Linked DNA regions of Tamandua tetradactyla. The protein of the gene in region 1 purifies or fractionates together with the protein of each later gene. This does not show direct contact. Links are inferred from orthologs where the notes say so. Each region holds a gene or a part of one and is shown in the gene's direction. Other genes may lie near its edges.

Region 1 (7,319 bases):
GGGCACAAAAGAGCTACTGAAGAGGCAAATGCCAAGTGTGGGAGATACTTCCCGTCCTCCTAAATTTCTAGCAACTGTGTGGACTTTAAACGGAGCTGGTAGTAACCGTGGCTGGCCACTGAGGCCTAGCCAAGGTCAAAGTCTAATGCCTATCTCATGAGGAAGGACCGCAGGGGCTTACTGGTCTAAATTCCAGCTAGAATTCACTGGACTTGCTTCCTACGGACAAGCTGGGGGAGTCCCATCCCAAACAGATGAGACCACATGGCAGGAGGCAGAGCCAGAGGTCTCCAAGCACAAGTACAGGAAGTACTTAAGCCTATGTATGAGGTAGGGTGGGACTCCATGAGACCAGATATAGTTCTGGCATTGTAATAGTGATTGATGGTAATTAAATGAAGACTTTTTTTTTTAAGTTAGTTCTTTTTTTCCACTACAAAATTTTGAAAAAAAAAAAAGATGACATCATAAAAATCAGCCACAGTCCCACCACCAAAAGATAGCTATTGCTAACAATTTAATATATTTATTTTTAGGCCATTTTAATGTAATTGTAAAATATAGTTGTCATCAAGTCATTTGTAACATATTGACTTCTGCTCATCCCATTTAATATTTTACTATAACCATTTTTCTGTGTAAATAAAATGCCTTAGACATATCTGAAGTTGATGTATTTCTGATGGCCAAAGTAAAATGTAATCATTTTAAAAACTGGAAAGAACAGAAAAAATAAAAGAAGGGGAGGAATCACCTGTAATTCATCACATAAAGGGACTTGTTCTACTCTTACTACTAAAATGATCTAGTCTGCTACAGCAGCTGTTGATAGGCTAATTTTTACTGGCAGCAAGGATCAACTCTGATACTACTTTTGGACCATAATTCCAACTGTTTTTGCAATTGCAACATTCTTTCATCATTTGCTTTCACAACAAACCCCTATCGAGGGAAGTGCTGTGTCACATACTCAAATAAAGAAATGCCTTAAAATTGACTTTCTCTGGCCAGTAACCCTTTCCAGGGCCCTCAAAACTACTGCTGGAAATATTACAGAAGAGGTCTAGTGTCATGATATCTTTAGGGAATGATTTGGCTTTCATTTTTTCCAGTAGCATGCAGTTTTTCAGAGAAAGCAAGTGGGAAAAAGAGAACCATCAATCCACTAGTATATCTATCAGACATTCTATGTTTTGTTGTTTCAGTTTCCCAGCTGCTAAAATGAATACCGTACAATGGGTTAGTTTAAAATGGGGACTTATTGGTTCACAGTTTTGAGGCTAGGAGAATTCTGAAATCAAGGCATCAGAAGGTGATGCTTTCTCCTTGAAGACTGTAGCAGTCTGGGGCTGGCTGCGGGTGATCCTTGGTCCTTGGTTTTTCTGTCATATGGCAATGTACATGGTGGCTTCTTCTCCTTTCTCTTCTAGGTTCCATTAACTTCCAGCTTCTGGCTGTTCCTGGTGGCTTCTTCTTCATGTCCAAATTCTTTTGCTTATAAGAACTTCAGTCATATTGGATTAAAGCCCATCTTTATGCAGTTTGGGCCACCTCACCCAATAACATCTTCAAAGGTTCTATATACAATATGTTCATACCCACAGGACCACCTACAGGAGTTGGCACCTGAACATGGCTTTTATAGGGGACCTATTTCAATTCCTAACATGAATTTTCACTGTTCTGTCCACATGCCTTGTCCAGTCTTCTTGTGGCCAGTGGCTGGATATTCTGTTAGCATTAGTCTGCTGTTACGTAACAGAAGCAATCAGGCAGAGAGGTCACTAAAATGATTACCTTGGCCTTAACAGTTCCTAAGTGACTGTGGTTGCAGTAACCTAAAGTAATATACTATAATAATCAATGTCTTCCCTCTAGTGCTAAAGTTCAATTTAAATCAATCAATTATTCTGGATATATATGATGATTAATTGCTATATTACTCAGTTCACATAGCTAATCTTACCAGCTTCTTTAGAAGGGAGAAAGGACCCATAGGGCTTACTTTTATCACTTTATTTCTTCCATTTTGTAATCTTAAACAAATTCCCTCAAATGGCCAGAGTCCCAAGTAGCTGCTATTACTTTTTAGCTGACTGCACAGATTCAAAATCTGGTTAAGAGTGAAATTCTGTGTGTAGATCAACTAATTTTTATTGTTGTTCCAAGTTAAACACCAACTTAATATGCCTGATTCTGTGGATATGATAGTGGACAACACAAACACACACAGGTGGATGGGAAATTAAACATGCCATATTAAAAGTTAATTAAAATATGGAAATTATACAATGCCATGAATTTACTGGGTGTTAACTGAATGATAGGCACTGTTCTAAATGCTGGGTATAAAACAAAGTTCATGTTCTTATGGAGCTCATTTCTTTACACAATCTGTAGGTTCCAATTCTACACTCCAAGATCAGAATGAAGTAAAAAAATGAGGAATGGAGGGTACATAAGGAAATGCCTTCTGGGGGATATTAAAAAGTAAAGAGGCCCTAGTGAAAGAGCAGAGTAAAAAAAGTGAGGGGCAGAGGAGGAAAAAGGGGAAGATCATATCAAGGACCTTATCTATTCAAGATTTATTTCTGTTTCTTTAGGACAGACTACGTTTAAGCCATCTCCGTAACCCACCCAACTAACACAATGCCTGGGAGAATAATTTCAAGTGTAGATTTATATGGCCAGATCATTCACTTACAAACTGTGGGGTCCCAGGCAATTACAAAATGTTTTAGTTTCCTGATAGTAAAATGGAGATAACAGCACCTGCTTCATAGAGTTATTTTATTTAATAATAACAGCTGACAGGCAGTGCTTATTATGCGCTAGATACTGTCCTAGGCACTTCAAATATGCAAATTTTCTCTTAATCCTCATAACAATTCTATGACGTAGGTATTACTGTTCCCACTTTATGCATGAAGAAACTGAAACACAGGGAAGTCACATAGCTTGCTCAAAGTTATAAAACTAGCAACTGGCAAAACCAGGAATCCAACTTCACCTGTGCTTTTAATCATTGTTCACATTCCTTGTCAATAAATGGCATATAGCAAGATCAGAAATAAACTGGTGTGCATCATGAAAGGTTCTTTTCACCTCCTTCTATTCTTATCATTCTTTGAAATATTTATTGAACCCCTGTGCTGTCATGGAACTGTGACAGGTAACAGGTATAAAGAGTGAACAAAACATAACTGGTTCTTGCCCTCCTGGAGTCTATTGCCATTAATCAAATAATACAACTCTTCCAAGGTTTATTTCAGCCTTATCTCTTTTCTTTCACTTTGGTGTCTGTCCATCAGTCCTGAACCAGGGCAAGGGGAGCACTTAACTGCTTCCTCCTAGATGGTGACGAAGGATCAGGTAATTGGGGAAGAGCAGATGGGCCTTCCTCTTGCGAGTGACCTTGTTCTCCTTTCTCTCTGATTCTCGGCTTAAAATGGAGGGATTTCAACCAAAATGTTTTCTCCAATCTTCTGTGATCACTCTCCCCTGCCCCCACCCGCCAAGGCCTATCCCTGGGCTTGAGGTGCATTCCTGCCTTCTTGATCCCCAGGAGCCTTTTTCCTTCTTTGAGTCTCCTGACATTCCGGAGGAGATGCGTGACCTCTGCCCTGCCTCTCACGCCCAAAGGCAGTGCCCGCCAGAGGCCGTTCCCGTCACGCGTCACCGTTTTCCGCGTGGCTGCAAGTTCTCGGCGCCCCCACAGTTAGGCTCACCCAGCTCGCTGGGGCGCAGCCAAGCTCTGGCCTTTGACTAGAGGGCGGGGAGGTCATCTCTCGGCCCCGGGGACTTGAGGAGACAAAACGTGGCACACGGGGGCCCAGGTCGAGCTCAGCGTTCCTAAAGAAGCCCGTAGCGCCAAGGTGGAGCTTCCGACCCACGACCGCGGCCATTGTGCTCCACTGCTTCAGCCTCAGGGCCTGAGGTCATGGCGGTAACTGGGAGACACGCTGAGAGCGTCCCTAATACCACCCTTCCGGCCCGCCCCCCCTGCCCCCACGAAAATGTGTTTCAATCTGGGAAACAAACAAGGAAAATTTTTGGTTTCTTCTTGTGCTACACGAGGAGGACAAGGGATTAGAAAACCTGACGCAGGTGGTGGAAGACCGGAGGCTTACTAGCGCGCCCGGTCACGTGGGCCGCGGGGACCGCATGGCGTCGGCCCGCGCGCCTCCGCGCCCCCGCTGGCCAGGCAGCCCGGGCGCGCGCGCCGACGGGGCGGGCGCATGCGCAGGGGGGCGCGCCGCCTCTGCCCGGCGGCGAGGGTGTCTATGGAGAGGCGGTGGCCGCGGCTGCTGAGGCGGACGCTGAGGCAGTGGCGATGGCGCCCTTCCCCGAAGAAGTGGACGTCTTCACCGCCCCACACTGGCGGATGAAGCAGCTGGTGGGGCTCTACTGCGACAAGGTAACGGTGTGCCGCGGCCTCTTGCAGCTGGGCAGTGCAGAGTTGGAGCGGGCCGGGTTCCTCTGGCGGCCTGGCCTGCGTGGTGCCCGCAGCTCCCTGGGCCGCCGCCGCCGCCGCCGCATGAACTCCCGCCTGCGCAGCTGTCAGCGCTGCGTTCGCCAGCTCGCACCTTCCCGGGCCTGCCAGCCGCGGGGCCTCCGGGAGTCCGCGTCCCCGTCCCGCGCCGGCGGCCTCGGACGTGCCCTCGGGGCTGTGTTCTCCTGAGGGCCTGCGGGCGCGAGGAGGGGCGCGCCCTGGACCCCGGCCAAGATCCCTGGGCCGCACTGGGCCTCCCGCTCCACCCCGGGTGGTGGAAGGGAAGGGAAAACCTTCGGGGACCCCCTTGGTCAGCCACCTGCGGCGCGTTGCCAATCCGCACAGGGTAGGCCGTTTCTGCGGTTGTCCGCCTCCCCGGTCCGAGCCACCCTGTCCTGGGGCTCCCCGAGGCTCTTTGCAAACACCCATCCATCCTTCTCTGAATCTCTTCTTTGCTTCCTGGCCCAGCCGGCCTGTTCAGCTTCCAACTAGTCCCTGCTCATTTTCTTCCCAGCTTTTCATCCTGGTTTGATTTGGAAGTCAGACCAGGTTTCTTGGCTTAGGAACTAGAGAACTTGTACTATTCATTTATAGTTGCATTTTTCCTTGCACCTTTTATTGCCCCAAACATTTGCTGGATGTCGATTTTGTCATAAGGTAGCTCCTTTCTGTTGTAATTCTCTACATAGGCTCGAATAAAAGGGACCTCTGGTAAAGTTGGTTGAACTCTGCGAACCTTTTTCTATTCTTAATTGACGCAGCATAAGGTGAAGAAGTACTTTTGTGAAGATAGTTCAGGACCTTTTGCTAATAATTTACAAACAGTATTAAACTTCCACATATCTGTCAATTTACGGATATCCTGGAAATATCGGGCAGTTTTCATGGAGAAATGAGCCTGTTACGTAAGCATAGAAATCAACTTGTATGGATTTTCAGAAATTACATAGCATTAACCAGAACTACTATTGACAGAAAAGTATCTTACAGCCCAGTAGGGTGATTGGAGGAAACCTAGTGTTCAGTGCTTGGCCACATTGAAGCTCAACAATTTCAAATTGGTCAGGTTGAGTTTCAGATCTTAGCGCCCCCGCCCATAACCACCCTTCCCTCCCCCCATTTTTTTTTTTTTTTTTTTTTTTTTTTTTTTGGTGCATGGTCCGGGAATCCAACGCTGGTCTCCCTCCTGAAAGGCAGGCATTCTAACCACTGAGCTACCTGTGCACCCCCCTCCCCTCATTTTGAAGATTGAAAAAAAGCTGCTTTAGATGGAGCACTGTCTAGGATACTGGTTCTCATCTTTGGTTGCTCATAGAATCACCTGGGAAGATCTTAAAACTCTTGATGCCCAAGACCACTTAAATTAGGATCTCTGAGAGTGGGACCCAGAGGTTAAGTTTTTATAAGCTCTCTAGATGAGTCCATTGTGCAGCCAGGGTTGAGAACTATTTATCCAGGAGAAGCTTAAGGAGTGGATGAGTTGTTAAGCAGTAGCGGCTAACCCTGAATTCTTGAGTTAGCTTTCCCTGTAATGTTTTTATCCTTCTTGGCCTTTGAATTTAGTTCATTTGAAATTATTTCATTGCAATTATGAAATTAATGGGGAAGTTTTTTACTTCAAAATTTGAAGGTAAGGGAAATTTAATAAGGACTAATGGAATCTGAGGTCTTCAGTTTAGAGCGGAAAGATTCCAAGGACCACTTGAAATTGTGTGGAAAATTTTGTGCATGTGTACATCTTCCTAGACAGTCTAAGAAGATGAATCAGATTTTCAAATGATTGTGATCCTCTCCAAATAATTAAAACTCGTAACTTTATCTAGTTAAGTACTAGCCCTCCTTCCATTAACATTTTGAAGAAGGCTGTTACTATTTTTTCCCCCTGGTGAGAACGTTTCAACAAATTTTGAAAATGCAGTTGCCTAAAACAACAAACAATGGTACCTGAGTCAAATAAGATTCTTTTCAGTAATTAAAATGTTCCCTTTTGCAATTTGGCATAGCATAAGTCAGAATTACCCCTAATTCTGAGTTAATTAGGTATTGTTAATGAGATTTTTGTAGATCATCAACAAGAGTATAAGTTTAATTTTCTGAACTGTGGCTCAAACACTAAGGTGATGTTAAAGAAAAAAAGCTGCATGGAATTTTATCTCCTAGCTTCTTCTTGATACTAATAGCCAATGAAAATCTTTCCTAGACATTCTTGGGGGTAAAGTGGGCAAATAAGTATTTTCTGGTGGCTCAATATTCTTAAAGGAATAAAGGGAAGAATTCCTTTGTTGTTCAGTTGTCATCTCAAGTTTTACTGTCTCCATCCTTTGGTTGTATAGGCCAGGTATAACAAGTCCAATTTCATAACCCAATACCCAACCCAAACAGCCTAGAACTAGTTTTTATATTCAACTAAAAAGGTATGATGTGTGTTATTTCATTGTATTTTAAATTTTGAGCCTGAAAATGCCCAGCAATTATAAAGAAATTGGTTTTATTTCCAATATTGAACTTTTCAAGTACAATATATTTTAGAAGCATCATTTATTTACAAGCACTAACTCATTAATTAAATATGTTTAAGGTAGTCTACTTAGAATACTTTATTCTGAAGTTATTTTAGGCTATTTTATATATTGCTGTATAATATTTAAAAATTGGTCATGGATTTCTTCTTGCATTTTCAGAAGGTTTTATGGAAAGATTTTCCACCTTAGTTTTCCAGACAGCAATCCTTTGAGATTGGTAAGGGCAGGGTTTTTTTCTGTTTTATATCTGAGCCTAGGTTAGGTAAGACAAAGTTATAAAAGCATTTAGTGATATAGCTACTGGA
Region 2 (7,451 bases), on another chromosome or scaffold:
TGATTGCATCTGTGGCTGATTACATCTACAATCAACTAAGGCACGTCTCCCACAACAAGATAATCCAATCAGCTAAGGGCTTTTAAGGAAGACGACTCTTTCACTGCTTCTTCAGCCAGCAAGCCTTTCCTGTGAAGCTCATCCAGAGCCTTCATTGGAGCCGCCAGCTTCACAGCCTGCCCTGCAGATTTTGGATTCTTCTATTCCCATGGTTGCATGAGATACCATTATAAATCTCATATTTACAGATATTTCCTGTTGGTTCTGTTTCTCTAGCGAACCCTGACTAGCAAAATTGTGATAGCCCAAAGTTCCCTTTTAGACCATTTAAATCCTTCTTTCTGCCAGTTCAAAACTGGTTGTGTACCCCAGAAAAGCCTTGTTCTTTAATTCTGACTCAATATTGTTGGATGGGATCTTTTTGATTAAATTGCCTCCATGGAGATGTGACACACCCAATAGTAGGTGGAACTTTGTGATTAAGTATGTTTCCACCCATTATAGGTGGGTCACTTACTAGAATCCTTTCAGAGGGAACCATTTTGGAAAAAGCTTCAGAGCCCACAGAGAGAAACCTGTGGAGATGCAGAAAGAAAACGCCCCCAAGGAAGCTGTTTTAAACACAAGCCAAAGGACCAACAGACACCAGCCATGTGACTTCCCAGCTGACAGAGGTGTTTGGGACCAATTGACCTTTCTTGAGTCAAGGTATTTTTCACTGGAGGCCTTTTGAGTTTGGACAATTTTTATAGCCTTAGAACTGTAAACTTGTAATCTAATAAATTCCCTTTATAAAAGCCAACTCATTTCTGGTACATTGCATTCCAGCAGTATTAGCAAATCAAAACACTCTTCTTTTCTGCAAAGAACAAATAATTTATAACAGAGTGCTTGATGGTCTCACTTTAAAATTACATTTGGTTGCATAGAGGTTAACAGCACAAGCTCTAGAGTTAGACCAGCCTTGGTGCAAACCCAGTGTCACCATGTATGAACTTACTGAAGCAAGTTCTGTAATTGTTCTGAATCTCTGTGTCCACATCCGCACAATGGCAACAGTAATGTTACTAACCTCAAAGGGTTGTTGTAATCATTAAATGGGGCATTTAATGACATTTGTCTTTTATTATTAGTGATATTGAGGGAAATGGCACTTAGCTGTAAACAACTGCCCAGAGAGTCCTGACTCCCTGAGATGGCAGGTTGGGATTCTAGCACTTAGGCAGTAGGAAAGAGAACACAAAAATTACGTAGATGCCAGGGCAGGGGTGGGAGTGGGAGGTGGCAGGCAGTCAAGTGGATGCTAAGAACTATCTTTCCTTATTATGAATATAGTCTTTTATTTTTTTAGAGGAACAGGAAACATTTATTTCAAATGCTGAGGGCCTTCCTCAAAATAAGGAAGAAAGAAAACATATATTCAGCGATGAAGCTGGGCATTCTAGAGTTCCCTCAAAAATGAATTTCAGGAAAGATCATCTTATGCTTTGTTCTAGGTGTCTCCCCACCAGCCCATGTTAAACACCCTGAAGAGCAAACAGGCCATACAGGAAAAGAAAGGGTATGTAGAGGAAAGAAAGTGACGGTCAGTAACTCAGAGCCCACAGACTTGTACTGAGCACCTACCACGCACTGGGTTTGGGGTTGGGGTGATGAACACACTGCCCTCGGGGAGTGCAGAAGCTCCTTGGAGCCAATCTGCAGACATGCTAAAGCAGAGTCACCTGAAGTAAAAATTTAGATTCCTCAGAATCTGAGCACAGATTCCATCCTGGGCACTATTTTTAATAAGTGCTCTGACAATTCTGAGAAATACCCAGTTTGGTAACCACCACTAGTGTTTCTCAAAGTGTGATCTGACCAGCTACAACAAACTCAGCCCCTCTGGAGTGCAGCATGGGGGTGTTTATTTTCATACACACCCTGAGGCTTGAGAACCACTATGCAAGACTTTCTCTTACAGTACTTCTTTTCCATTAAGTGTGTGTGAAGTACATGCAAAGTTAGTTGGGTATAGTTTTTAGAACCTTTCATGTCTTTCCCATAAAGCTCAGATCCACTGAAAGATGGATTCTCAATAAATTAAGAAAGTCCAGTTGATACAAGTAACTGAAGTCAGCTGGAGTTAGGTATTCCTCAGAGCTTAAAATGTCTTCTGACTCATGGTTGTTCCTATAGTAGCAGAAGCTTCTGGCAGTTGAGACTGCTAAAGTACTACTGTTACCTCAACTGAAGTCCCTTCTGTCTCTAGCCCCAGGCGCAGAGCTGTGGTGCCTGAGCCCTTGCCACACCTGGGTGGCTTCCTCTCAGAAGGTCTATAAAGTGTAAACACTCCTCTAGGTCACTGGCAGAACTGTTAGTATCATGACAGAACTATTTATTAAGAGGTCCCTGTGTGAGTAAAGGAATAGGTCCTAAACTCCTAAAATATTTAACTTTCGTAACACACAATGAGAGCCAAATTCCAGATGTGGAAATCCGGATAAGGAAGAAACTGGATGGATGGGAGGGGAAAGAGATTGTTAAAGATATTGAATTCCCACTTTAGATGATGAACGACAGGTCCAGGGGTGACGCCCCATAAACGGCTGTAAAGTGTGCAGATCAGAAGGCCGAGCCCAATGATGGGGACATAGCAGGGTTCTGTTAGAGGTGGCAGTGGGTTTGCATAGAGTAAAAAATAAAGGAAAACTCATCGACGTAAAGATAGGGGAAAGAGAGTCTGAGAGACAGGGATCAAAGAAGAGACAGGATCATTAAAGCAGAGGTTAACATTTCAGGAGAAGACCAGTCACCAGTGTCAAATACCACAGAGCAGCATCTTGTCAACAAGGACAAGAACCTAAGAGAGGCCACTGGATATGCAGTCAGGAGGTGATGGTGACATTTCCAAGAGCAATGGAGTGTAGTGAAGGAATTATTTCCTTTATGTTTTTGGCCAGTGTTTCCTAGTAAATCTCAATTCCCTTTATAGTTCTGATTTAAATCTTTTCTATCAAAAGGCTTATCAATTATCATATTATTATGCAAAGTATCAAGGTTGTCATTGAGAAATTTTGCTTTCTGAAGGACTGTCTCACTAAGAATTGGAATTTAATTGGATGTGTTCTCTCCCTAGACCCATCCTTCCATCTATTCCTGCCCTTCCCATACTCTCCCTAACTTCCACAGGTACTCTATTACTATTCTTTTTCAGGGTTTGTGGTGAACGCCTGGCATATAGTGTACACTCAAAGAAAGTTTATTAACTGGTTATGAATGGAAGGGAATTAGGAATTGGGTGGGAAGAAAGTTCTTCTCCCACAATGGAAATACAGTAACTCCTCCTTTTCAAAATTTAATATAACTATTTATATTTCAAAATTAAATATAACTAGGAGATGGCTGTACTAAAGGGTAGCATGGGGAAAATGTAGGTTTGCAAGTCAGACAGGCCTGAGGACTGAACCTTCTGCAGAACATTTCACACCTGCATTATGGGGAATTATTCCTCACTTCCCAAAGCTGTAGAAAGAGTTGAATTACAGTGCAGAAGATGGGAGCAATCATTATTAGGATAAGCTATTAATTATTCACACTATAAGCTGTTTATCCACATACACAAGATAATAAAACCACAACTCACCAAATAATTTGGGCAAGAAAACCTTACTACCCTTGATCTATAAAGACCTAATAGCTTTTTTGGATTCAAGGATCTCAACATTTGCCTAAGAGGGCTTAGGCCATAACTTCAACGTACTTGACTATCAAGGCGGGTCCTGTGAGGGGCACTCAGTGCCCTTTCTCAGTTATTTCTTTGACTTCAGACTGGTGAACAAAATGCATTCTAAAGTGTTGTTACACGCTAAAACTCTTCTTTTTTAACACATAGAAACTTTGCATGACAAGCCAAGGAAACGTCGACTTCCTACCCAGCCAAAAGAATTAAAGAGTGGCGTGGGGGTAGGCGATGAGGCTAGGGGCGCAGCTGCAGGCAGTGCGGGGGAGGGGGGCCGGGGGGAGCCGAGGTGACTGCACATACTCGGAAGGTCGGAAAATGAAGCCTCTGACGTTGTGGCCAAATCAAATACTTAAAAAAAGAAAGAAAAGGCAAACAAAAAATCCGCATTTCTTCTCCACCCCTTCGGCTCATTTCCTAGCGCGGCCTGGGCAATCAAAACCTATTCCTCAAACCCAGCGAAAGGCACCCGGGCCCCAGGCCCTAGGCCCGTAGAGGTTAGCCCGGGCCCCAGGCGGTGTCCCTCCTCTTCCGGCCGCTCCACCATTGGCAGTCCGCCCTTCCAGCCGGGATCGGGGTGGGGGTCGCCCCGCCGGGACCAAGCAGGGCTGCGGTCGGAGGGGCGGGCGCCCGGACTGGCCGGGTCCGGGCTGCGCGCTCCGCCCCGCCCCTACTCCGCCCAGCGGTCGGCGGTCACCGAGGAGGCCGGAGGAGGAGCGCGGAGGCGGCGGCTGTACCCGCGCAGCGCCCGGGAGCGCGCCCAGCACCGTGGTGGCGGTTCGCGTGTCGCGGGACCCCTGTCGTGCAGTCCACGGTGAGTACCGACTCGGCCTTACAGACGGCCCCGGGCAGGAGCCGCCTCCCTCCTCTCCCGCTGGGGAGTCGATGAGACCCTTTTCCTCCGCGTCCGAGGCACTTTCCCGGAGCCCGGCTGAGGCGCGCAGAGCGGGTGGCCCGGCTTGGGGGCTGGGGGGCGCGAATTCGGGATATGGGGCGTGGGGCGAGGGGAAGCCGGAACGTATTGCTGGAGAGCGATTGACCGCTCTGCCCCAGCAGAGACTGGAAATGGCCCTTCTCGCCGGTCTTGGCCGAGGCAGACCGGGCCGCTCGGGGAGTCTTTACCCTAAGGCTGTGCGGGCCTCCCCCGAGACTCCTCACCCGAAGGGTGTGCGGGCCGCCCAGGGAGACGTCACCAAGGCCAGGCGGGTCGTATCGGAAAATCCTCATTGAGGTCGTGCGGGCAGATCGGGAAATCCGCACCAAGGGAGAAGGGACCCCTCGGTGGAAGCTCTGAAGCCTGATAGATTCAGAGCTCCAGGAAGGAGCGTGGGCTGCCCTGAGCCCCTCTCTCTAGTTTCGCCAGCCTTTCCCAGTTCATCCAGGACATCAGAATGGTGTTATCTGTCCACCTCTCTCCCCACCGCCGTCAAACATAAGCCTGCTCACGGGGAACAACCCCTAGGGACAGCAGCTTTCAAACTTTTGGGAACTCATTACTCATTAAATTCTTAGAAATTAGTGAGGCCCTGAGGAGCTGACATAATTTTACCATGCTAAAAATAAAACCGATGCGTTTTTAATGTTTAATCATTTAATAGGTTAATAATTCGTCTGAAAATAATGGTCAGCATTATTTCATGAAAAAGATGTATATTTCCCAGAACAAAATGTTGCTGAGAGGAGTGGCATTATTTTACATTTTTTGTAAATCCCTTAAATGTCAGACTTAATGGAAGAGGGCAGTATTCTCAGTTTTGTTTCTGCGCCCAGTCTGTCCTAATACCAGGTGTCGTGTAGCCTCAGGGAAACTCCATTAAGTACATTTGAAAACCTGGGAGTGAAAAAGGCAGAAGTGCCCTGAACCTCACTTTGAGAACTATTGGTGTAGGATATGCTTCAGAGGCTTAAATTCGCTGGCCCGGTTTCTTTTTGGCGAGCCTTCCTCTGAATGGGGACACCACCACCACTCCAGTCCATGAACAGTATTAACCTCAGTGTTGACCTCACTTTGGGGTCCACGTACTGGGTCTCTACATGAAAGTGATAGTGGAGAGTCGTGTTTGCCTCCTGAAAACGTGGCATGGTTCAGACCTGACCTTGCTGGTTTCCTTGTCTGCAGAACTGACTTGTCTGTGCAGCTGGATTACAGCAATGATGTAGCACACAGCACCTGTGGGCTCAGAGAAATGCCCATGGGAAGATGCTGCCAAGTGTGTAGGAGTTTGTGGGGGAGCCCTTTCGCCTTCCTTTTCATCATTTTTCTGTTCACAGCTGTGGGGTTGCTAGCCTTGAGTTTGTTGGGATTCGTTTCCCCAAATCTTGGTATTCTTTCTGCTTTCAGAGGTGTCTCACTATAAATGGCCCTTCGTCAGCCCCTGTCAGGAAGAGATTTCCAGCATCCTGGAGTGTGGTAGTGGGATTTTCCAACAGATTGTTTTCTTGGCTTCACGCTCAATTAGCACAAGTTTAAGACAAATTAAATCTATAAATCAAAGAAAAAAATGATCTGACCTCTCTTTTCCTCCATCCAGAGTCTCTCACACTTATGAGTCAGCTTGGCGCGCAGCTGATGCTTTAGAAATGTTACAAACACAAATAAACTTGTTTGCTGTTGCCCAGTCCACAGATGAGAAGGGAATGGGATCTGACCTCTGAGCAGCTCTGTTTTCTAGGGCCTGCTTGTTCTTCCTGTAAGACTCCGCTTGATGGTAGGATCTCATTCATTCATCCCTTCAGTCGATATTTATTAACCATTACTTATTATGTTCCCAGTTCTGTGCTGGACACTGGGAAAAGTTGTGAGCAGTCCCTGTCTTTCTAGAGCTTTTTCAGTCTTAGGAAACTGTTGGTTAATTGAGACAGCCGATGTGGTCCTGTGTGTTGAATCCTACCAGAAGTGTGATTCAAAACCATGTGCTGAAGAAGCTGGGGTTCTAACGTGACAATAATGATTAAATACAACCTTTATTCGGCACTTACCATGTGCGTGGCAAAAAGTTCCTTTTTCTTCTTTCCCCTACTCCTGTTACAGAGGAAGTAACTGCTGAGAGGCAGCTGGATTCCATACAAATGAGCCCAGGCCTGCTTCTAGTCCTTGGGGCCAGCCTTAGGCAAGATACTTTCTCTCTTTGAGCCTCAGCGTCCTTGTCTTTACAAGTGAGGGGGTTGGGCCTTTGATTGTAGGTGTCCCAAGAAGCCAGTGGTTTGCTGGAGCTGCTTTGTACTGACCTTTGTGCACGTTTCCCTCCTCCGAGTTCAGTGACATCATGTTGGTAGCTTGAAATAAGTTATTTGCGTCCATTTACATCATGGAATAGGGCAAGTGCTACACAAACCACCTGCCGCCCCCTCGCCCCCCACCAAATTGTCTTTTAAACATTTACCAGTGCACACCTGCTACTGTCAAATCCAGGGTACTTTCTGTTTTAATAGAAGAGGGATTCTTCAGGCTGGATGAAAACACTGGGCAATGCTGCTCCAAAGCTTTTGATAGGGAGAAAATATGCTAGAGCATGGGTCAGCAAACTGTTTCTCTTAAGGGCTAGTAAATATGTTGGGCTTCTCCAGCCATTCAGTCTTTATTGGAACTACTCAGCTCTGCTGTTGTAATGTGAAGCAGCCATAGTCAATATGTAAATGAATGTGTGTGTCTGTGTTCCAATAAAACTTAATTTATAAAACAGGTGCTATAGTTTCCTATCCTGGAATATCAGAATTGGGGCCAGTGCTT
Region 3 (6,945 bases), on another chromosome or scaffold:
GAGGAGTTTTAGACAATCTAGAATTAAACTTCAACTTAAAATTATGTCCTTCTCAAAGGGTAAGTTGCAGATGTTACAAAAATGCCAGGTGCATACTGTGACGTTAAGGATTTCTTCTTTATACCCAAACTTCTGTCACCTTAGAGTGCCCCCTTTGATTTGGACTTTATGAATAAAGCTATTCATAGTAAGATCCACATAAGTGAAATAATAATATACCAACAGATTTTAAAATGCAGATAAATACTTCAGTAAAATATTTACATGAAAAATACAGATGTAGGATGAAGTCAGGTTTAGCTTTCTAAATTCAACAATTATTGAGGGCTTTCTCTGTACAAGTTATTGTGCTAAATGCTATGTATACGTATGTGTATGTGTGTATATGACTATTTGAGTAAGTGACTGAGAAAGAGGAACAGAGACACACCAGAATAAGACAGAATTCAGGTTTCAAGGCTTGCAGTGTAGTTGCTGGTATAAGAATGTAAACATTAAAAACCTGACCAACAACTTAAAACCTAAAATTGTGGAACTGTAACCCATACCAAACTCTGAAATCTGTTCTACAACTAATTGTTGTGATGTACTTTGAAATTTATTGCTTTGTTTTTACATATATGCTATTTTTTTTTATAAAAAAAGAGAAGGAAGAGAAAAATAAGGAAGATAGGATTTAACAAATGAATATGACTGGTGAATCAATATATTGATATTTCTTTTGGTCTTCAGTGTCTTGGAGCAACTAGAAGAAAAAATGAAAAAAATACCAAACTTTAAAATCTTTTCTATAACTACTTGTTAAAATGCACTGGTAAATTTATTGCTTTTCTTTGTATATATGTTATTTTTCACAGCTAAAAAAGAAACCCACATAACCAGTAATATGGAGTAGATTATTATACAGTAAGTAGCATAGATAATGTATCTGCAGGAGTTCTTAGAAGAAGCAATCTCTTCCACTGGATGTGGGAGGAGATTTGTTAGGGAAGGTGCTTCAAGAAAGATAAGGGATTTGGGGTAGACCATGAAGGGGAGAACGACTCTTGATAAGATGAGGTGGGGAAATGAAACAAGTACAAGCTGGTGACCTTAATGTTAAGGAAGAGAAAGAAATCAGGTCCCAAAAGGAAGGACTGGGTCAGACATATCCTTAAAAGTTTAGATTATTGTAAACAATAGGGAGATGCAGAAAGATTTTTCAACATAAAATTAATTACAGGGTTTGGAATAGGTCAATTTAACAAACTACTTTTGGGGGAACTTCTAGGTATAGACACTCTGCTTCGGATGAGTGAGTGAAGATGAACTTGCCTTTGGTGGGTAACTGACTTCAGACTGGGAGAGAAGCAGGACTCGAGGTGACAGGACCTTGCAGTAGAGTGGGAAGGGGCAGGTTTGTAACTCACATGAAAGGAAGAGTCAGCAGTGACTAGCTGGCTAGGAGACAAAGACAGTCAGTGGGGGAGTTTTTCAAGGTATAATTACGTAGCTCAGAGAATGTAAGGGTAAGGAAGGGAAACAGATTAAGGGGGAAGAGATACAGAGCTTGGCTCTAGTGGTGCTGAATCTGAGGATATCTAGATCAGTGTCCAGCAGCCATTTAGAGATGTGGGTATGGGGTTCAAGAGACAGGTAACAGCTGAATATATAGCACAGGGGGAAAGCAATTATGGAACCAAATACGATTTCTCTGGGAGGGAGTATAAAGAGAGAAAAAACAATGTGAAACTTAACCATGAGTGTACCCACCTAGGAGATGCTTGGTAGGTAGGAGTAATCAAAGAGGAAAACCAAAATAATGCTAAGAAGGGAAGGGAGAAGAAAGTTTCAAGGAGGGGAGGCTGTCAGCAGTGAAAAATACAATGAAATCAATTATTAGGACTGATTAAATAAATAATAAATTGAAAGCACATAAATAATAAATTGAAAGAATGAATGAAAGTCCCTTGGGTTTGAGAATTAACTTTGCTCAGAAGAATGATTAGGGATGCCTTCCTATAAGAAGATTCCGATCTTAAGTTTTACCTTATCCTTCCTATAAAAACACATTTCTTCCTTCCATATGTCATCCGGTCCACTACATAGACATCCTTCCCTTCTTCCTCAGGTCCACCCCCCCTTCACTCCATTCTCCTTCCCAGGTTCCACAACACAGTAACACACCTACGGGTCAAAGAGAGGCAGGAAACTGCAACTAGAGTTTCCACTTCATTAACAACTTCAGGCCAGTGATTCCTCTTACAGAAAGGGATATGTAGCAATTGGGCCCAATTTGTATTAGCTGTGTGGCTTTGGGCAAGTTGCTCAATCTCTCTGGATTTGTGTTTTTGGATAGGGAGGAGGAAGTAGGTCTATCTGGAATCTAGACAAATTTCTAAGTCTACTATTTTATCATTCTCAGAAGATCCTTGCAACATCCTCAGAGAAGGAAGTGAGTGTCCGGGGCAAAGCGCCAGGATAGGAGGAGGGGTGTACCGAGAAAGTGAGAAGGCGCTACCCGGCCCTCCCGAATCGCGAAGAGATCCCCATACCAAAGGCTGGGAAGAATCCCAACAAACCCGAGGGAGAAATTCTCACCCCCACCTCACTCCACCTTTCCTAGATTCCCAGACGGCCGGGAGACTCTAAAAACCCTGCAGGAAAAATAAAGATTTCCTTCCCAGAGCCCTGCGCTGCTTTTGCAAGTCGGATTCGGGCAGCACGATATGCAGCCCGATAATAACAGTCTTTGGAAGGATCGACTGAGCTCGTCTCGCTCGCTCCGAGTTCTGGGGACGCCTGGCTGCCCGCGCCGTGCCCCAACCGGCCGGCGTCAGACCCCGGCCCGGGCTGCCAGGCCAGCGGCGCCCTCGCCCGGGGTCCTCCCCCCTCCGTCCGCCCCGCTGCGGTCTGCAAACATTTCCTGCCCCCACCCCCACCAGGAGCTTCCCAGTTGGAGCGAGTCGGTCTCGCAGCCGGGTCAGCGCTCGCAGTTGCCCCAACTCAGCTCCCCCGGCCATCCAGGACTGGGGAGGAGGCCCCCGTCCCGCTCCCGAGCAGCCATCGGGGGATTCCCAAGCGCCAGGCGCCGGGAGTGGTCTCTCGGGAAGTCCAGGGCTCCAGTAAGAAGGGGGGACAACTGGCAAGGTGCCCGTTGCTCTGCTCCCTTCCCTGTCATTACCTGCTCGTTTGCGGGGGTGTCCCGGGGCGGCCGGCCTCTCCCGGCGCTGTCTCCCCACGCAGTTGCCCATGCTGGCTCCTCAGCCGGGCCCCATCCACCGGAGGCGGGGGGGTGGGTGGACGGCTGCTCCGCGCTCCTGCCCCGGACCGCGGCGTCCCAGGTCAACGGCTCCTGCCGCCCGGCATCGGGCGCACCCCGATTTCCCCCCCGGGGGTGCACTCTGACCCAGCGCCGGCTTCGCCACAAACTTTGCGGGCGAAGGTAGAGGAGGGGGACGACTCCCCAGCACAGTCCACCAGGTGGCCGGGCCAGGGGGGCCCACGACGGTGCCCGGCGGGAGACCAGCTCCGCTGTAGAGGCGGAGAGAGGGGGCGGGCACCGCCGCAGCTACTCGGAGCTCGCTCGGGGCTCCCAGCTGGGGCCGGCCCCCCGGAGCCTGTCACTCACCTGTCTAACCCCGCCCCAGCCCGGCCCCGCTCCTTTCCGCCTGCTCGCAGTGCCCGCACCGCCACCGCCCGCCCCAGGTGCGCATGTGACCGACGGCACCGCCTCCTTGGGCCGGGCCTGATTTTTTCATTGGCTTCCCGCAGGGTGCATACCGCCCCTCGGCCCCACCCAGCCAGGTGCCCGCCCAGTCGCCCGTCTCCACGGGAACCGGGCCGGGAATTATGCGCCCTCAATGGCCCCCGCTGCGTGCCCAGCACCCGTCGCACTCCCCGCGCCAGCGCCCCTACTTCAGGCCCCGCCCCTCGGGGAGGGGCCGCCCCACCCTCCCTGGAACTGCCAGGCGAGGAGCCGGCGGGCACGTGATCCGCGGAGCGCTCCGCCCCCTAAGTCTTCGCCAAGCGATTGGCTCATGAAGCACATGCGCGGAGAGTCTTGTTTCGTGCCACCACCTACTTCCCCTCCTACGGTCACTAGTTCGTGTCATGGCCGCCGCCACCGCTTTGGAGGCAGTGGCGCCTACGGGCGCCCTGTGGGACCTCGTGCACGACTTTGTCGTGGGTCAGCAGGAGGGGTCTGCTGACCAGGTGGCTGCAGGTATGGCAGACGGCGCCGCGCGGCTTCCGCATGGGGTCCAAGAGGAGGGAGCGGCCTCCACACAGGGGGTCGGGCGGGAAGAGTGAGGGATAGAGGTGACTGTGAGAGACTGTCCCCAGGAGCACCGGGTGCTTAAGAGCCGTACCAAAATTGAAAGTTATTTGCATCTTCCTTAAAGCGCTTTTACACTCCTCGTCTTCCGTAACCATCTTCTGTGCAGGAGAGGCGGGGTTAGGATAATCATTACCATTTTACAGATGAGGAAACTGAGTTACAGCGAGAAGAGACTTGCGGAGTGTCACAGATCAGGCAGGTCGGGGAGCTGGAACTCGGCATCGGATGCTCTCACGGGGAAACCACGTTGTATCTAGGAGGTAGACGTGAGAAAATGCAGCTTCAGCGGCATCAGCACCAGTCGCGTGGAATCTTGGGAGCGGCGGGGCGGCGCCGGCCACCGACTGGCTGTAATTGGAGGGAGAGGAGGGAAGGCGTTCTAGGCACAGTTTGAGATGTTCAGTGTCCTCCCTCTGTTTCTTCGTAAAGTTCTTGATTAATTTGCTTCTCAAGTTTTTCATGTGCAGTGTGGTTTTATCTTTTCTTACATTTCCAGTACCTGCTTATGACCAGTTCAGCAATCTCTTGGTTCTGACAGCTTCCTAAGATTTGAATCAAATAATATTAGGTGTCTTTGGAATTTTAATACTGTGCTTTTGTAGAAGAAAATTTATCTACCAAAGCGTTACTGAATGTTAGGAGGCCTTCAGACCTCAGGCATAAGTCACAGAATACAAAATAATATTGTAGGTATCCGTAAGTTTGTATTTTAAAGGTATTTTTTGGAAATTTTGCATGTCTGGGGAGAAGTAAAGAACATTGCTTCTCTTGAAAACTGAGATACTAACTTTTAGAATACGTGAGAAATGAATAAATTGCGTCTGCTAAAAATGTAATGCTTTGGTTCTTAGCAGTATTCTGCTTTCATTCATTCGTTCCACCGTTACTGAACACGTTATTCTTCAAATGATGCAAAGCAATAGGAATATAGCTATAAATCAGTTCAGATTGGTGCCCTTCAGAAACTTATACTGCGGTGGGAGAGACAACTACGAACACAGTCGACCATAAAAAGGGTTCTAGGAGGTGTATTCAGATGCTATGGAAGCATCAGAGAACAAATGCCCCCTTCTGCCATTCCACGAAGCTTGACTTCTTACAATAAATTTAGTGAGTTATCAGTGTTGACAGTGTTAACGAGTACAATATGTGCCAGTGTCATTTTTCCAAGTGTTTTATTGTGAATTTTTTCAAACATAAGCAAAGTCTAAAGAATTTTATAAGGAGCCCACATACACTCATCACCTAGATCCTGCTATTAACTCTTTTTTGCCATTAACATTTTAATATACTTGATTGATCACTTATCCATCCATTTAAGTTGCAGATATCCATACGCTTACCCCTAAATACTTAAGCCTGCATATCATTAGAGTTCAGTATTTGTTTACAGTTTCTTTCTCTTTAGGTGAAACATTTATATCCAATTAAGAACACATACCTTAAGTGAACATTCGTTGCTTTAAAAAATGCAATCCAAACCCTTGTCAACATAAAACATTATACCAGTGTCATTTAAAATTTTTCTTTCACATTTATATATTATGAAACAATACTTTTGGATTTTTCAGGTTCAAAATATACTGAGACTACAATCTGATAAGAGACTGCCAAGTTTTACGTGTTTATAAATTTTTTTTTGTTATTGTCTGAAAAAAATGACCTAAACTATTGTCTACTTTAAAACAAGCTCAGCCCAGCCAAAACTCAGTAACTACTAAGCCTGTTGTACTTTTGGTCTCCTGACTAAATGAAGAAGGTTGGTACGAGGAGAAGTAACAGATAAAGTTGAAATGTTTGGTGTTTGATGGGATTGAATTATGCATAACATTGGATCCCAATCAGAGGTATTTAAATGACCTGTTGTAGGAATAGCGGTTGTAGATCCTTGAGCAAAGAAGCCGTATAAAGAAGATAAGTTTAGAGGTTTAAATTGGTATTCTCAATCTTAGATCACTGCCCTTTTTAGGGTTATTGAAGGCTGACAGTTTTGAAGCATCCTCAGAATAAGATGTGCTTTCTAATCCTCCAGCCTGTCAGGCTTTGTTAGTGCTTCCTTTTTAGCCACTCATAGCAGCAGAGTTTCCTACAATAGTAAAAGCAAAAGAAACATCCCCTCCTCACAAAGGCAGCTACTACCAATTTTGTCTTTGTCAAGAACCTGGTGGGTTCTTGGTAAAAATAGGAGTCAGTAATGCATTTCCTAGTATAACTTATGTGGACAGCTTAATTGAGTACATGGAACCTTGAGTAGAGCATGAGATTTTGTAGGTTTGTCCAGAGTGATGCCTCAATAAATCCCAGAAGGATTTGAACAGTGAATCAAAAAGTATTTGCAGAGTCCCCTTGGGGGAATGGTAAGAAAGGGGGAAAGTTCAGCTTCCCCAATTGGAGAATTCTTGATATTCTCACAAGCAGTGGGGACAACCAAAGCAATAGGCTGAGCCCCCAATCTTAGGGTTTATTCATATGAACTTAACCCTGCAAAGGATAGGCTAAACCTACTTAAAATTAGGCCTAAGAGTCACCCCAAGAGAACCCCTTTTGTTGCTCAGATGTGGCCTCTCTCTCTCTCAGCCAACAGGAGAAGCAAACTCACTGCCCTCCCCCTCTCTATGTGGGACGGA

The links.
Region 2: the proteins of FBXL5 (region 1) and ACO1 purify together in Homo sapiens (affinity purification with western blotting; 3 studies listed by BioGRID, with this or other methods). This does not show direct contact. The link is inferred for Tamandua tetradactyla from reciprocal best matches to the Homo sapiens genes FBXL5 and ACO1.
Region 3: the proteins of FBXL5 (region 1) and MMS19 purify together in Homo sapiens (affinity purification with mass spectrometry; 4 studies listed by BioGRID and IntAct, counting the BioPlex papers as one, with this or other methods). This does not show direct contact. The link is inferred for Tamandua tetradactyla from reciprocal best matches to the Homo sapiens genes FBXL5 and MMS19.

What each region holds. Positions count from the first base shown.
Region 1 is NC_135345.1:14,980,704-14,988,022, reverse strand, and holds the start of FBXL5 (F-box/LRR-repeat protein 5), read left to right. Parts: upstream 1-4,238; 5' UTR 4,239-4,333; coding exon 4,334-4,417; intron 4,418-7,319.
Region 2 is NC_135328.1:63,547,881-63,555,331, reverse strand, and holds the start of ACO1 (cytoplasmic aconitate hydratase), read left to right. Parts: upstream 1-4,425; 5' UTR 4,426-4,535; intron 4,536-7,451. UniProt on the Homo sapiens protein: Bifunctional iron sensor that switches between 2 activities depending on iron availability. Iron deprivation, promotes its mRNA binding activity through which it regulates the expression of genes involved in iron uptake, sequestration and utilization.
Region 3 is NC_135339.1:58,807,085-58,814,029, reverse strand, and holds the start of MMS19 (MMS19 nucleotide excision repair protein homolog), read left to right. Parts: upstream 1-3,888; 5' UTR 3,889-4,092; coding exon 4,093-4,204; intron 4,205-6,895; exon of another isoform or gene 6,896-6,945. UniProt on the Homo sapiens protein: Key component of the cytosolic iron-sulfur protein assembly (CIA) complex, a multiprotein complex that mediates the incorporation of iron-sulfur cluster into apoproteins specifically involved in DNA metabolism and genomic integrity.